Linked DNA regions of Drosophila melanogaster. The protein of the gene in region 1 interacts with the protein of each later gene in a pairwise test. Each region holds a gene or a part of one and is shown in the gene's direction. Other genes may lie near its edges.

Region 1 (3,865 bases):
ATTTGGTTCTTCCCTTCGAATGCACTGCGAAAAACAGGTGCGTATACTTCAATGGAAAAGATACAACATGAACTGAGTGATATACAAAGATAGAAAAACTCTTGAATACAATAATGGATTAGAATGGTCTTAAAATTCTGAGATGAAATATGCAACTTAAATGATATTTGAAAAAATCACTATACTAGTTTTGCTCCACATTTTTTTATGCTTTTAACTGGCTCTATCTCAACTGACAAAGTTCTAAATCTGATTTTTGCACCGTGCTTGCTTTTCCTTGATTACTCATACGCCCCGTGTGCGCGGGTTGGCCAAGAAATGGAGGCTACCACTTACCGCGAGATTCACGGGCTGCCCGTGTAATGGGCTTTTAGGCCTCGGCATTAAAGAACCATTGTCTCAGTGGGGTAAGAGCACAAGAAAAGAAAAAAAAAAACGAGAAACTCCCAGGCCATCGCCAAAGTGCACCCATGGCCAAGTCAACTCATAGCAGTCGGCAGTAGCTTCGGTTGCCTCCCTCCATCCATCCCTCCATCTATCCATCCATCCCTCCAACCATCTATCCATCCATACAGTCAGTCGAATCAGTTAACACTTTTCACATGCCCGCCGGGTCGAACAATGTGAACCCACTCATATGGGCGGTATGACAAGCGTATGTATATACTATGTGGCTATCCACAAGCATGGCATCGACAACTATTTTGACATATTTCGTAAATATCCGTGGATAAGTATCGCAATGCTATTGGCACACGTAACTTCAACTGCACAGATACAAGCTACAGTTTTGCAGTTTTGGAAAATGGCAAACGGATATAGATCGTTATGTTCTTAAATGCTACTTTATTATTCAAACACTTGCTAAAGTTATTATTAAAGTTATTTGAAACATCTGAGTACTTTTTAGTTTCTTGTACTAAACTCTATAGATTAAATGTACTTAAATGTGGAATACCCCTGAATTTATGCTAAAACTATCGCCCAGATTGGTAGAACCTAATTCAGTCCATTCAACCCAATCGAAGTTACGACTCCAATCCGTTAGGTTTTTTAGAAAATGTGTCAGCAATGTTGGTTGGAATGGGGATACTTAGCTTAGGCACTTGGCCAAAAAGCCTCTAAGAAATTAACAATTGCCACCTTTGTTGGCGAAATTCAAGCATTCAGATCCGCCTGGCTCTTCTTCTCTGCGATGTTTTGTTAACAATTTCAGTTGGCTTAAATAAGCGCTGGAAAGTGAAAACCCAATTCGATACTGTTGTTCATGAAATGAGTCACGTACTAGCCGCAATATTTATCTATCTAACTAAATCGTTTCAACTGGACTCGCATGATTGCTGTTACGTTTTTTTTTTAAACTTTGTTTTCAAAGCTGCAATCGTTGGGCATTTTCGCGTTTTATGTTGACCAATTAGCTGTTTCAGGGTCAAGTTAATGATTCAATTAGCATTTGTCATCATTGTTATTGCTTCTCCTGAGCGGCGGCGGTATAATTGATCCCCCAGATCGTGGGAATATTCATAATGATGTGTGATCACACATCAACACGCCCAACCAGCTTTTCATAAGTAGATCATTCGAAAGGTATTGTTTTCTTCAAGAAAAGAGTTAAGATTATAAATATGTATTTAATATACAATATTAGCAATCTAAGTTGATCCAGAGTTGTTCCATAAATGGGTTAAGTAGAGCTCATCTGATTCTGGAAACTATCTAATCCAGGATATAAATTCAATCTAATATGTTTGATGATTAAGCCAAGACCCATCAGCATACACGTTGTCCAGTGGCATGCGTCATACATACATAGGTGGCAAGCAAGGCGACACGAATCTCTGGGATGCAACAGTTGCGTCCAACTTCGCGGCTCGAGTTCGCTGGGATTGGAAGTGGGCTCGGCGGGTATAAAAGCGACTGCCGGCCCGGTGGGGAATCATTAGACAAGTGTCGAACGGCGCGTGCGCATCATAGTCTTGAAGGAGCAGTTAGCCACCAGAAAGCAGTGAACACCACAAACCGGCAGCCACAACATGAAGTGCTTTGTAAGGACTCGCCAAAGGATCTCTCGTGGATTATAATTTCCCAAAAACTAGAAAATGATTTAAAAAACACAGTTCGTTAAAGTGAATAATAAGTTTTGAAAGCATTGTATTCCAAATGCTTGATGTTCATTGTTAAATTATAAAGTGTATTTAAATTTTAGTTTAAAGTTGATACATATTTTTTACATTTTTTTTATTACATTTTTGAATATGTTTTATGTTGCTTTTGAGAATTTGTTAAACAAAATACTATTGTTAAAAAGTACTTTTCACTTTATTGAAATATGTTTTAAGTGGTAATCTTTTGAATATGATACATTTTGGTGACGCTTTATCCTCGCGCAGTTTATCCTGATAGCAACCAGTCTGGTGCTGAGTGCCTATGCCCAGGACGCGGCGGATTCTGACCTGGAGCAGGTGGCATCCGCATCGGCACCGGATGCGGTGGCCGTGGAGGATCAGGTGAGCGCCGCCAGCAGCTATGCCCCGCTGCAGGATAAGAAGCAGGAGAAGCGCTATGTTGGTGGATACGGTGGCTACGGAGCGGGCTACGGCGCGGGATACGGCGGCTATGGCGCCGGATATGGCGCAGGATACGGCGGCTATGCCTCTGGCCTGGGAGCCGGCTATGGAGGAGCGTACGGCAGTGGCGTCGGCGTTGGCGTGGACAGCTACTACAATCCGTACAGCTCGCGAGCTCTGGGTGGATTAGGTGAGGGTGAGCTTGAAAGAAGACTCTCAATCTCTTGCCGAAGACTCGTAGTATACCAACGCTGTTTCTCAATCCCCAGATGGTGCTGCAGTGGCCGGATACGGAGGCTATGGATCCACTCTGGGCGGCTATGGATCCGCTTTGGGTGGCTATGGATCCGCTCTTGGTGGCTATGGATCGGGACTTAGTGGTTATGGTGGCTCCTACAACTCGAATCCATACGCCCTGTCATACTACAACAGCAGGCTGGGCGCTGGAGCCGGCACTGGGTATCCGTACTACAACACCCGATTCGGCGCTGGTGGCTATCCATCCAGTTACTATACGAGCAACTATGGCAACAGCGTGGTGGGCGGCGGCTTGGGCGCTTTGGGCGGAGTGCCGCCCATCGGATCGGGCTATAACTACGGTTCCGGAATCTCGGGAACCGTCTACTAGACACCGCACGGTCCAACGTTCAAGATCTAAGCTAGTGGAATTTATTTTTTTTCATCGATATATTTTTTTCTAACTTTATTTTTATTAAAAGATGCTACAAAAAAATACATTATCATAATCGTCATTTAACTAGAAAGTATATATTTATATATGCATGTAATCTCATTGGGGCGATGGATATGCGCCATGCTTGTCCTTGATCACCCAGAAGGAGTCGACAATGGCGCCGTTCTGGTCATCGGACACCTGCTCGAAGTGAAGATGCGTGCCATTATGTGCCTTCAAGCGGGTGTATCCGTAATCCTAAAGAGATTATAGAATTATAGTATTCCGTTTTGATATTAAGCAGGTCATTCAATTACATTGCTATGGTAGGCATTCCAGATGGGCAAATCGTTGGAGAAGGGCTCGCGCTCCTCCTTGCAGCCGGCGGAACCCGTGATGATCTGGATGGGCGCCTTGGGATTAGTGTATGGCGCCTCGGCACTGCCATTGTACACCTTGTAGTCGTAGATTGGCCACAGGCGAGTGTAGAAGTGTTCATGCGCAAAGATCTCCACGTCGACGCCGTGCTTGTAGAACAGATCCTCCAGGCCGAACCACTTGAGCATGGGCAGACCCTGGCGAATGTACGTCTCCAGTTGGCTATTGCAATCGTACTCCTTGTCGT
Region 2 (5,379 bases), on another chromosome or scaffold:
ATTTATTTTCTGGATGGAGGGAGGTTCGAATAGGTGAAATTGCATCACGCTGTGCCTCGGTTTCTGTGGAATTGTTTGCAGGCTGAAAATTGTTGATTTTGACACCTTTCGGGCTGCTGCATTGTGTTCCTCTTTATTTCCATCTAATAAATGCATTTGTGCCCTTTGTTGGCTGCATTTTTTACGGTTTTCATTCCTTTTTGCGAACTCTGGCGGGGGGTCATCAACTGCCGAGTCCTCCAGTTGGCCACTTGACTGCCGCTGGTCCTGCGGCCAGAGGATATCTTTATTCGCTCATTAGCAGCACGATTGTGCTGGCTGCAGGTCCTTCGAGTCCTGGAGCTCCTGCGGTGAGGTACTCAGCTCAGTGGGCGTGTGAAATTACCGAAAATACAAGGTAAATTGCGTTTTCTTTCAACTCAATTATGCTTGATTCGTCGAAATGTTGGCCGTCTGATTGCAAGGATTCTTCTAACCACAATTGATTAAATAGATATCAGAGTATTACTTCTAAATATTTATTTAATTTAATATTTTTGATATTTATATTTAATATTTATCATTTCGACCAATACTTTTTTTACTTATAATGAAGCTTTCACAAAATCAAAACTAAAGCTCAGATGCCGAGTTTCAAATCGAATTAGCTACACACACGTTTTGCAGATTAGACCGCAAATGAAACCGACTCAGCTAAAAATCGCTGAACTTTCGACAGCATTTCGCCTTGTAATCAAAATCCATTAGTCAACATAATTACGCTTTAATGGACTCGAAAGTTGTTTATGCCTTGCGTCGATTCGAACCGAAAGCTATGGGTAAATATGCGTGGCTTAATTAGCGGCCATAAAAATTTGATAGATTTTAATCTATCGCACAAGCTGTTGTTGTGCTCTCGCCGATTCCTAGCCCATTAATCTCAGAAATCCGGCGACGAATTTGACGGCTCCGGCTGATAACAGAGTGTGAAAATAGCACTACCGAATATTATTCCATTGTTTTTGAAAAACTCTTGGGGTTTGATAGGAAATGTTATAGTGTTGACCGAGGAAACGAAGTGAGACATTTGGCACGTCCCGACAATTGATGAACCTGCTCTGATTTTGATTTGGAACTGCGATTCGGACACTACATAAATTATGCAAACTTTGTCGTGTGCCAAAAAAAAAATGTAATGCCTGAAAATTAACATTTAAATCGTAGCGAAAAATAAACCCGGTAGCACATTTCATAAAACTGTCCCGATCAAGTTTCGTAGATGATTTATGGAAACAGCAAGTTTGAAGTGCATCCGTGGTGTGGAATTGCTAATGTGGACTGGATTGTCAGCTGTACGAAAACCGGGACGTTTTAAAATAGGGAAAGTTAATATATAATATCATAAATTAAATAAGTATTTTAAATTATAAATTTTACGCCATGTTGTTGAATGGGGTTTACGAACTTTAAAAACACCATTAACAAAATACTTATATTCCTTAATCTTTAGTTTTATGCAGAAATATATAAAGAGCGTCTAACAAATCCTTGCTAAACTATAAATTTGCACAACAAAAATCCCCCTGAGCAAGGGAAATATTTAAAACGCACATCCTCTGTAAGCCTCGAAAACCCTTTTCGAACTTCCTGCAAATTTGGCCAGAGTCCGCAAACAGAGACATTTTGCCCACCTGGCATTAGATTTCCATTTAGCGCTCGTTCCGGCCCAGAAATGCAACCGCAAAAACAAGAACTATGAATGGCAGTTTAAGCCAAATTACACAAAGGCCAAGAGCAACAACAAAGTCGTATAGTGGTGGCTGTTTGAACGGAAGCCATATGCAGAAAATTCGGTAAAGGCAGCGCACCGAACTGGACCCGCCCCTCGAAAAGCAGCCATTTCACTCGCTCCTTCGCAGCTAGGCCATATCTGCAGGGTAGATAAAATCCACAAGGCGCGCGCAAAGAAGACGGCCATACTACACCGAGCACAGTGCCTCCCGCTCTGGCCCGATAAACTGGTTTGGCCTGTACTGGCGAAGAGAGAAGACTCGCCGCAGCTCAGCTCTCTTCGAGTAGCGCACACTTGGTGGTGTTGCCGGGCTTACCGGATTTATTCAGACATCGAACGTCGTCGAGAGCACACGTCTATATTCTCCGTCTTCCGACACAAAAAATAAGAAAAACGAGCGCGTCGATCGCCGTAGAGCACAAGTCTTGACAACCCGAGTGTGTGTGTGATTAATAAAGTAACTAAACGTATATATGAAAGCGTTTCCAATGCGTCGCTTAGTGTGAGAAAATCAACGAAACATAGAGAGTTACAAATAAGGACTTCCCAGAGGATTAGACAAACAGAACAGATTAGATTAAACAGAAAACCGTGCTTAAACCCTCGAAAAAAAAGCCGCCAACATAGCCGAACTAACCGCCGTATTTATGACTAAGATGATTCCGCCGGTTCCCACCGCCGCTGCAGCCGTCATGATGCCCACACCAAAGCAGAAGATCGGTTTCAGCATCGAGTCCATTGTGGGCAATGATGTCAGCACCGCCGGCGGCAATTCGACGCCCGATCTATCCGGTCCCCAGAGTCCGCCGCCCGGCGAGCGCAATGTGCCCGGTTCGCCGCCCCAAACGCCACCAGCCACACTCACCTTGATCCCAGGCTCGCCCCCGCACCATCTGATGGCTCCTCCTGCCCACGGACTGCCCTATCCGCATCCGCATGCTCAGCAGCAGCATTTGCAGGCACCACATCCGCATCCGCATCTATCGCCTGCGCAGCAACATGTGCTCCACCAGCACCTCCTCATGCAGCAGCAACATCCGGGCACACCCAAGAGCCACCAGGACATTCAGGAGCTGCTGCAGAGGCTGCACCACAATGCCGCCATGGCCAGCGGCCTGAGTCCGCTGCAGACACGCCTCTCCCCCGAAACGGAGCAGCCCCAGATGGCCGTCTCCCTCAAGCGGGAACGCTCACCTGCACCACCTGCCATGGAGCAGGCCGAGAATCCCGCCCAGCGCATCCAGCCACCGCACACGCCTCCCAAATCCGTGAGCCCCCAGTCCTCGCAGCCCTCGTCTTCGCCCACTCTGCTGATCAGCAGTCCACATGCCACACCGCCACAGCAGCAACAGCAGCAGCCGCCCCCGAATTATCCAAAGCCCGCCATGATGCATCCCGGAGGAGCTGGACCCATGATGATGCCGGGCATGCCGCCCGCTGGACTCGTTCGCCCCTTTCCCATGGGACCCGGAGGACCACCGATGCCGCAGGGTCAGCCCGGCTTGCCGGACATCAAGGCGCTGCCGCCCTACATCAACGCTCCGCCGGAGCTGCCGCCTCAGCACAATCCGCATCTCATTGCCGCTGCCCAGTTCCAGATGGCCGCCGCCCTGCAAGCGGGTCATGTGCTTGGTCCAGCGGCCGCCGCCGCTGCTGCCGCCGGCCTGCCGCCCCATGCCGCCCAGTTTATGCCCAATCCAGGCATGGCCAGGGATAGCTATCAGCTGTACCCCTGGCTGCTCAGCCGCCATGGAAGGATCTTCCCACACCGATTCCCTGGAAGTAAGTATCTTTTGGAATGATTCTTTATATGCGAAACAAAAAAAGGAGATTTAGGGAAAAAAATAGTTCTTGGAGTCCAAATTGAAGCCAAAAAATGAGAAATTTCTTTAAAGTAATAATTCTAAACCTTCATAAATGTAATAAGAAATGAAAGATGCTAATATGTTTTAAATTAGTTTTGATGAGTCTCTTATAATTGCATTATATTGTCATTGCTAATTTATTGCTGTGAGTTATGATCTTAAATACCGATGACTAACCGAAACCCTTTCTTCTTTGCCTCTTTCAAGGTTTCCTGGTGCCCCCGTTCCGCAAACCGAAACGCATCCGCACCGCCTTCTCGCCGTCGCAGCTGCTGAAGCTGGAGCACGCCTTTGAGAGCAACCAGTACGTAGTGGGGGCAGAGAGAAAGGCCCTGGCCCAAAACCTCAATCTGTCCGAGACGCAGGTGAAGGTGTGGTTCCAGAACCGACGCACCAAGCACAAGCGGATGCAGCAGGAGGATGAGAAGGGCGGCGAGGGAGGATCGCAGCGGAATATGCACAACGGCAGCGGCGACGAGGACGACGACGAACTGATCGACATGGAGATGGACGAGTGTCCCAGCGATGAGGAGCACGAGCTGGACGCCAGCCACTGAGAGAAGCGGCCAGGAGATAGTCCTGCGGCGGTCCGTGAGTTCCTTATCCTGGCGAATGCAGTCCAGTTCCAGTTATCGAGGGTTCCCAGTCGAATCTCGGCGAGAGTAACATAGTTTGTTTTGTTGTGATATATTCTTAGAGCGATCCCAAGGCGTTAGGCTAAGTGTATATAGATAGGAAAGTATTAGAGACCCTTTCTCTCCATCCACACTTCTCTCTCAAGATCCGTGCCAAATCCTTGCGAAGTTTCGAGGTTGAGTAGAGCTCAAAGAATGCAAGTTGTTTCCTTTCTTTCCCAAATATCAAATGCAAAAAAAGAAACACTGAAAAAATAAACCTAGGCTAGACACCACCAACTATAACTGTACAAATTTTATGACTTAAGCCTGTAAATATTCATGACATTACTTTTAATTAGTGAATTCTTCAAAACAAATCGTACTCGATCCACTAGCTATTGTATAATTCTTGTATATTGTATGACGATCTAGCATTTATTTATGTTTAGTCTTAAGCACGAACCTCTAGAGTCCCTCAACTGCAGCTGGATATTATTTAAAGCCGTCTAATATAAAGCCCTAGTTGCTAGTAACTACATCCTAAGCTAATACGATTGTAAGAAACACAAACGAATATGATCATATAAAATATAAAATATTCATTATGAAAAGAAATCGAAAGAGAAATGTTTGATTGATTTATGTGTTGGGGGCAACCACTTATTATCCAGAATACTAGATAATTTATTTATAATTTAAACAATATTGGTATGTTTTGAGTTATGGGTGTGAACTTTAACTTCTCATTCAGCTTTATTACTTTCCTTCAACAATATTTTACTTTAGTTTATTTTTTCTTGTTTAAGCCTTGGCATCTCCGCCCCTTTTTAATTGAGTTCGTCCCACTGTGTGACAGAGTAAAAAATTATGCGCCGTCAATTAATTAGCGTGTGACATTTAACATTGTTGTTGCTGTTTCTGTCCACTGGAAATGGTGACAGGTGCGCTGGAAAAGGGGATTGAGGGGGTGCGGCCGCGACTGAAAAGAGCGGGATAGCTGAAGGAGGCGGCTATAAAATGCATTTAGCGATCGTTATTTCTTATAGATTTCATAAGCATTTTAATTGCACAATTTAAAATGCAAATCGTGTTTTATTGTAGAATTTAATTGAGCGCAGTTCGTGTG
Region 3 (3,395 bases), 300 kb from region 1:
TCTAGTTACCAGCTCGCCAACCCAGCTGCCCTGGCCCATCAGTCTCCCATCCGGCATAGTTGGCATCACATAATTTGGAATGACCCAAGGTCAGGCGTTGAAATATGAACTCAGTTGATCACTTACAGCGCTTAAGACACGAAAAACCAGAGGAATTCCAGCATAATTTATATTGAGACAAATTTCTTTGCACAAGAAGTGCACAGTGTGTAGTCATAAATAATAGTATCGGTTTAAATAACTTCAATTTTATTGCAATTTAACTACTATATAGTTAAAGTAAGAACCTTGAATATTAAAATGTGCTGGATTTTTCTTTCAGTGCACCAAAGCTATGTGCTGTAATTTTAATTTTCCCACCCAGCATTTCGGTTAATCTTCGCTGTGTTTGTATATTTTTTTCTTTTTTTTGCGCACTTGTGTCGCACTTATGTATCATCATTTGTTTGGCTCTGATTTAATACTAGCAATGACACAATGTTGACGCCGGCCGAGGACAGGCAATTTAACTACGTTGTCGCCACTGCAGCGCGTCAAGGACGTGGGCATGACAGTCGGATGGTCACCCGGCCTTACAGTCATCCAACCATCCAACCATCCAAGCATCCAGCTATCCTGCCATCCGGCCAACGCCTCATCATCGCCCCTCAGTCGTCATTCCGTGTCCCATTAGGCGTGGGCCTTTGTCTTTGCTATCATTATCAACACCCTGCCATGTTGCGTTCTTTTATTTTTCTCTCAGCTTACTGCTTATTCTTCATATTCGCAGGCACAGTTAAAAATAAAATGCGGCCAACGTTGCGTATACGCAATATCAGCATTGAATATTAAGCATACGCAATGTTGAAACATTTAATTCCTTATTGTCAACTAGAACTATAAAGTAATAATTTATACTGTACATTTGTTATATATGTATATATTTTTAGTATGAATTTTCTTTCACTGCATCTGGTTGGTTTATGAGACATTTTGTTGTTGCTTATTTTGCTTTCGCCTTCGTTTTCACTCAGTTCAAGTGTTTTGCATTTTATGCTTGGCACAAGAATCAAGTGGAATGTGAATGGCCAAGAGGGTGAGAACCTTAAAAATACCGTATTTAAATGCCAATCATGTGTGAATCAAAACGTGTTAGATGGGCTATAAGATCAAGTTGAAAGTTAAACACGAAATAGCATATAATTGCTTATATTTGCCAAAATGTTCAATTACTTTAATCGAATTTAATGCAGTTTTATAATTGTTTTATAGTTAGCAAAGTAATTAGATGCACAATGTTTTATTTCTATTTTATGGTACCAAGTCTTTAATACCCATTTAATACCCAGTGTGTAAATAAACGTTTGTTGCCGCGTCTTCGTCATTATCATCTGTGCTGCATCACGACAGTTGGCGTCCTTTTTCAAAAATTAAACACAACGCTGGCCATGCCACGCCCCTCGGTCGCCCACCGCCCCCATTTTCCGACAAGGCTAAACCAAAAAAAAAAAATCATAGAAATAGGAATCAAGACTCAAGAGCAAAAAGATGAAATGAAAATAAAAAGAAATGTCATTTATCACAATATAAAATTGTATGCTAAATAACACGGAATGACCTGAATTAGAAGCACAAAAACCTTTATGAACAATCTTATGTCAGGTTAATAAATCAAATATTTTACGATGATGTACATATATACTATGGTAACTTATAATTTGCTATTCAAAATATTTAGAAAATATATTTACTCTTAGGCATTTTATGGAAGAGCTAAACCTAAAATATGTGCCAAGGTAAAACAATCAATTTAATATCGTATGTATTTTCATGGCCAACTGCAATCGGTCGAAAAAAAATTTCCAAAAATTTCCAATCAACATATCCATGAAATTAAATGTCAAGCCGAAAAATCGAGGTACCCCAGCCGGAGCTCCAGATTATCAGTTATATTTTAGATCCCAAACAGTAAACACCGTTCAGCGGAGCAAAATTTTGTACAACTTTTATTTGGTCAAAAAAAAAAAAATCGAAAGAAAAACTGTTTCTTTTTCACCACTTTCCCAAATTATTTGTATTTAGGATTTACTCAACCGCAACTCACAATATGTCGAATTCGTTTTCGTACTGGAATGGCCAGCCGTTGAATGCTCCCGTTTATCCGCAGATGGGTGACTTCATGCAGCACTCTGCCGCTGGAGCAGCCGCTCCACCACCACTATCAGCAACAGCAGCAGCACCAGGATTAGGATCAGCCGGCGGACTAGGAGGTTGGCCTAGCCAGGGCGCAGCTCAGGCACACTCCATGCTACCATACGCCGGAGGAGCCGGTGGCATGCCGGCTGCCATGCCGGGTGCCATGCCGGGCGTCATGCCGGGTGCCATGTCGGGTGCCATGCCGGGTGCCATGCCGGGTGCCATGTCGTGTGGCATGCCCATTACAGGAGCCCAGCATATAGTGCCGCCACCCGTGGACCGTTCAATATATGGAGACATACCCGGACGAAATGAACCGTGCATCGACAATGGCGAAGCCTTCTGCGCCTACAACGGCATGGACATGAGCATGAACTACGGCGGAGGCAGTGCATCCAAGGGTGGCTTCTGGTAGGATCGATGCCACGAACAATGACAGCACGAGCATCTTCACCGAACGACTAAAGTGAATCGCATATGGGCCATATACATACACAATTAGTTTTCGAACCAAACGTCCGTTTTGTGCAGCTCAAACGACTCGTACTTGGCGAAAATGTATAAAATAAATGTCATAAATCCATAAGATATGAAAATAATCAGTTGGCACAAATCGGTGGGTGGGTTAATTGCATTAATAAATACAGAGATGAGTTAACGTGCGGCAAATTGAATGTGAGAAGAGCGTTGTAAACTCAAATCGCATATATTTTATATGCTAATTACTAAATAGGCAAAATGTGATGTATGGCAAAGGTTACTATTGTTATTTTCACTCGGCAGTCAAATATTGAAGTTTTATTTTTTATACAAATAATTAAAGCACAAATCAAGCTTACATTGTAAATATTTCGATTTTTCTATTTAGTTTAAACAAATCAAATTTAAATAACTAGGTGCAAACCATTTATAAGATTAATAGACCCAATTTTCCACCGTATGATTATCTTGAGCACTTCGTATAAATATATGTTCTTGAGATTCGCATTGTAAAGTACAAAAAACAATACAAGTTTCATCGTTTCTAACTATGCAAATACAACGCCTGCCGCCCCTTTTGTCGTATCACAGGGCGTGGCTGATTGTCACAGTGATGAGATGGCAATTTCTCAACACGCTAACGAGATGCACTTACAAAAAAATGGGTATGCCCATTGGGAAATTATTCTTAAAAAAAGATTCGATGATTTATACTAAAATTACATGAATTTAGCATAATC
Region 4 (5,121 bases), on another chromosome or scaffold:
AGCTGCCCGATATACGCGAGATCCTGATCATCGGCTATTATCCGCAGACCCAAATGGAGGGATTCGTGGGCGACATGCAGGCCCTGTACAGCAGCAGCAACATCAACATCAGGTGGGAAGAGGGGCTTTGGAAGAACTTGAATCTTAAGTTCCAAGTTGACCTACCCTTTATCATAGGTACCTTCAGGAGTTCACTGCCTTGGGCACTGCAGGCGGAATGTACCATTTCCGGGATCAGATTAGAGCTGGTAACCCCCGAGCCTTCTTCGTATTGAACGGAGATGTTTGCGCTGATTTTCCGCTGCAAGAACTGTGCGACTTTCACGAGAAGCGCCCGGCGAGTGCTCTGGTTACTATCATGTCCACGGAGGCGACACGTCAGCAATCCTTGCACTACGGCTGTCTGGTTTTCGATCGGAGTAGCGGAGCCGTTTCGCATTATGTAGAAAAGCCTAGCTCCTATGTGTCCACATTTATCAACTGTGGGGTGTATGTCTGTTCCATGGATATATTCACGGTGTTGGCACAGATTTTTCATTCGAGAGGTCAGGAGTACAGCTGCCAGGCATTTTGCAATGGAAACGGAAATGGAAATGGACGAGAGCAGGGGCACATCAAGTGGGAACAGGAGGTGCTTACGCCCCTGGCTGGAACCGATAAACTCTTTGCCATGCCAGTGCCTAACTGGTGGTCCCAACTGAAGACTGCTGGGTCGGCAATCTACGCAAATCGTCATTATCTTGGCCTGTACAAGAAAACGCATCCCGAGAGATTGGCCAATGTGGGGATCAAGCGCGGAGAAGGGGACGGCAGCTTGATCTGCACAGTGCATCCGGACGTCTATGTGCATCCCAGTGCCACTGTCCATCACAGCGCAGTGGTTGGTCTAGATCAAACTTATTTTTTAGAGTGCTTCTAACAAAAAGGTCCTGTTCCAGCTGGGACCCAATGTGGCGATTGGACCTGGAGTGACAATTGGACCAGGTGTGCGCATTCGCGAATCGATTGTTTTGGAGCAGGCACAGATCCTGGACCATACGCTCGTGCTGCACTCTATTGTGGGCAGGGGCTCCACCATTGGAGCTTGGGCTCGAGTCGAGGGCACACCTAGTGATCCCGATCCCAACAAACCCTTTGCCAAAATGGAGAACCCACCGCTTTTCAACAACGAGGGCAAGCTAAACCCCTCGATAACCATACTGGGTAGGTGTTTTGAATTGAGTGATGACATTCTTGAATCCTAATTTTCAATTTCAGGCTGTTTCGTGCAGGTGCCCGCCGAGAAAATCCTGCTGAACAGCATTGTACTGCCGCACAAGGAGCTCAGTCGCAGCTTCAAAAACGAGATCATCTTGTGAGAATGATTTTATTTTTTATCTTCGCTCTGTGTCCCTATCAGTATGTCATTTTATATGTTTATATTGTGCTATATTCTGAAAAACTCCCTATTAAATGTGTCTTATCCTCTGCAGCCAATTTTACTACGTCTTTGACCCGGTAAGGTAAACTACTCGGCACTCGTGCTTTTATGATTGAAAGATGGATATGTGATAGTTGGGAAACAATTTTTTTTCGAATACCTTTACGTATTAAACTTTTTACGGCGGTATTACTTTCTTATAAATGTGGTCGAGGGATGCAGTTTTCTGCATTTGTGTGCTTTTTATAAGGAATTGAATTAGGTATATCCGTTACTCGTACAGTATATTCTCGCTCGCACTCCCACTAGCGTATCTTTCAGATCAAAAACATGTAGTAGTTATTGGTATATTTGTTATAAAAAATCGAGGCAATTAAGAATACCAGCATTCATATTGTTTATTTTTTTTAAAGGAAGCTAACTATTGTTCGAGTAAATTATTTATCTTGCACCTTTAAAAGGGGAGTTTACATTCCGATATCGATAAGTGCAAGTAGTTGGGGGTCGTGACACGGTTGCTCCTCAAAAAAGCGGCCCACGCACACCAATACCTGTGCGCTCCCGATGATTTTCCCACTCTCTCTCTCGCTCCCGCTCTTATTCGTTTTGACCAAAACGCGTTTACGTTGCTCGGTTGTCAGCCAGTTAGTCGCCGTCGCCTGTTGCTTTTGATCTGTGCATATCCACCGCTTCTAAAACAGTGAAATTTACTACTTAGTATACTTACCAAATAATGGCCACTAGCTGGAAATGATGATTCTGGCCAAAAGGTAAGGTAACCAGGTAAGCAGTCTATTCTACGTGGGCATTCACCGTTCTCCGTTGGTAATTGAGCAAGCGAAGAAGAGGAGGAGGAAGAAGAAGAGCAGAGCAAACAGTATGCAGGTGTACGTGTGTATGTGTGGTGGAGGACGAATGTGTTGGTGGAGCAGCACAGGTAACTTCTATGCGAGAGGGAGCACGAGAAAGAGACAGAGAGAGAGAGGAAAAGCGCGGGTCATGCTCACTGAGCGTAACTGTCTTGCGCAGCGTGGGAAACTTATAGACTAGCTCTTTGCTTTAAGCCAAGCTTTATTGGCGGAGTTTGTGTAACTCTCTCCCTTGAGCTCTCTGTGTCTCACTCTCTCCGCCGAGTTGCCAACTACCGCAAGGCCTATTGGCAAACTCATACCTGGCCATGTTGTTGTTTTTGCTGGTATGTGCGTGATGGAATCTTGTTTGGTCTGCTCTCTCGCTCTCTGTCTACCGACACAGAGAGAGGTAAGCGCAGCTCACCTTAATTTACCTTCGTGGTTACCTGCGTTTCGCTGCGGCGATCAGTTGTTTTTCAGACTTGAAGCCAAGCGGATGCGCGACGGGTTAAATAAGTTAATAAACAGATTCGACACACACACACACCGAAACGTTTGCACGCACACTCATACCAATTCAACAACTAGAAAAAGACAACAAGACAAAGTGGTGGAAGCAACAGGTCAAAAAGAAGAAGAAAATACTTGTTTGCTGGCTTTAAATTAAAATAGTAAACTATTCAAAAGGCCACAAAACAAAAATAGCAGGCGTTTTATCAAATGTAACTGTAACACATATGGTCTTTTCGAGTTTGTGTGCGAGAGAAAAGAAAGTGCAATAAAAACCAAAATTTGTGAAAAGCCAACAAGTGCAATGTATACAACGTGTTGAACAGAAAAAAAATCATAAAATAAGAAAACAGTAAAAACAGTTAAGTCGCGTCGCTGAGAGAGGGAGAAAAAAGTGAGTAAGAAAGCGAAGAAACAGAGGAAGACGAGCAAGAGGAAGCTGTAGATATCATTTACCAACAACCTGTGGCATCCAACAAAAATCAAAAGAGCGAGAGGGAGATAAAGAGCGCCATAGAGTGTCGATGAGGGAGAGGGAGGGAAAAATATCCGATTGAGAACCACTTGTTGTTGCCGTTAATCAAATTATCTATTAAATATACCAAAATGAATGAGCGACATTAACAAAAACAAAGTGAAAACAAATTTACAGTTAGCGGAGCCCAAAACGAAGATGCTGAGAGAAAGAGAACACAACTTGTTTATGAATACCCTGCACTAGAGAAGTCTTCAAGTTTGTCATATGATTCCATATGATTATGGAAAATTTAAATAGAACGACAATTATTCCGCTACATTAATGGTCTAGTTTTTTTTTTTGGAAAACTTAGTAATTAAAATCCGACAAGATAAGATACTACCCCAATTTGATACTCATGCTGCTTAGGAAAAAACAGAACGGTGTGAATTTTAAATGCACCTGCTAAAGCGTATTTGAAGATCGCCTAGTGCTGAATCTGTTTTCTTATTTGCAGAATCACAAAACAGCAGCAATTTCAGAGTTGCACTTGTTGCTTGCGTGAGATCCAGTTAAAAGAGGGAACGAGATAAAAATCCAGATAGAGCGAGAGCCCAAAACATTTTCCTTCGTTTCTTCTCTGCGCTTTTCTACCACTTTTTTGTTGTGCGAATAACTTTGGCAATTGGCATTTCTCGCCAGCAATTTTTGCGCAATAATAGATTTCCTGTTGCTCCAACAACAACTAACGGCACACGCCAGCGACAACAACAAAACATATATGCAAGCGGGGAACAATGCTTAAAACAAAAATCGTAAAACAGAAACTTGCGCAATTCATAATTTAATAAGCCAGTCCGAAATACAACAAACAATCGGCCAACAATGAAAATCTGCTCACTTTCTGGTTTACCAATAGGCAGGTAGCAATTCATTAATTGCAATAGTTGTTGCCGCTGTTGTGGTATTAGTTTTTTATTCCGCTCCTGCTGCGCCTGTCACTAATTCAAATTTAATAACGGCTTGATGGTTTTGTCTTTCGCACAGTGCAGTAATCGAAAATCGATCTTCACAACACGCAAACCTCTCAATAATCTACATTTCTCAATATATTCAAATATTTGTGCGATTAACATACGTATTCTCATTAATATTGAGGAAAATGGTTGTTTTGAAAACTACCAAAAATTACCTCTGACTTAACAAAAACGGTACATTTCTATTGGTTTCTGTGATATACGATATAAATCTATTTAAATCTTTATAACGTACAATAATTACAAGTTCAAGATAGGAAGGTCCCACTGTGCTGTGATATTCAGGGTTTAGCGTTTCTTATTTTTAATGATGGCCGCAACGCTTTCCCATTGTCTATTTGGTTATTCTTTATTTTACTTAATTGGGCGACTCGCTTACCGTTATTCATTCATTAACGAATATAGTACCTTTTTCATTTCAACGAAAGGGAAACTTATCAATGCGTGTCTGCCCTTCTGGCATAACCGTATCTTTTCATAGTTTCCATTGCAATCAATTAAAAGCGCATAAAGCCTCTCATAAGACCACAATCCATGATATATGTACGTATGTACCACTCTCGAAAGGTTGACGTAAATCAACAGTCTTTAATGGGCTGTAAGGGCTTAAGGTCTCTGAACAGGAAATAGGGCACTTTAAGGCAATAGTAAACGCAGCTTTTCGGTTTAACTAACCCCGGAGGTCGAGAAAAGTGTCAAAATCAAGAAACTTGCGAACCAGTTTAGGCTTTTTGGTTATGAAAGCCGAGGCAGTTCTTTTGGGGAGTACGAAATCGTGGGAACCTGTATTGATGATGACTTCCTGCTAACGGAAAAAAAAAACAAACCAAAGGGCGGTGCAAGATG

What was found.
Region 2: the proteins of CG2157 (region 1) and ems interact in a two-hybrid assay, tested with the Drosophila melanogaster proteins (one large-scale study listed by BioGRID).
Region 3: the proteins of CG2157 (region 1) and CG1394 interact in a two-hybrid assay, tested with the Drosophila melanogaster proteins (one large-scale study listed by BioGRID).
Region 4: the proteins of CG2157 (region 1) and fus interact in a two-hybrid assay, tested with the Drosophila melanogaster proteins (one large-scale study listed by BioGRID).

What each region holds. Positions count from the first base shown.
Region 1 is NC_004354.4:10,867,347-10,871,211, forward strand, and holds CG2157 (uncharacterized protein), read left to right. Parts: upstream 1-1,937; 5' UTR 1,938-2,033; coding exon 2,034-2,045; intron 2,046-2,390; coding exon 2,391-2,763; intron 2,764-2,836; coding exon 2,837-3,195; 3' UTR 3,196-3,357; downstream 3,358-3,865.
Region 2 is NT_033777.3:13,899,761-13,905,139, forward strand, and holds ems (empty spiracles), read left to right. Parts: upstream 1-2,092; 5' UTR 2,093-2,418; coding exon 2,419-3,553; intron 3,554-3,843; coding exon 3,844-4,193; 3' UTR 4,194-4,860; downstream 4,861-5,379. UniProt on the Drosophila melanogaster protein: Acts as a homeotic selector gene controlling antennal and mandibular segment identity.
Region 3 is NC_004354.4:11,169,201-11,172,595, reverse strand, and holds CG1394 (uncharacterized protein), read left to right. Parts: upstream 1-1,917; 5' UTR 1,918-2,086; coding exon 2,087-2,590; 3' UTR 2,591-2,785; downstream 2,786-3,395.
Region 4 is NT_033778.4:15,673,571-15,678,691, reverse strand, and holds the start of fus (fusilli), read left to right. Parts: upstream 1-2,022; 5' UTR 2,023-2,190; exon of another isoform or gene 2,191-2,251; intron 2,252-2,738; exon of another isoform or gene 2,739-3,175; intron 3,176-5,121. Other genes in the region: Gmppa (GDP-mannose pyrophosphorylase A), read left to right, coding at 1-112, 178-880, 939-1,203, 1,258-1,358.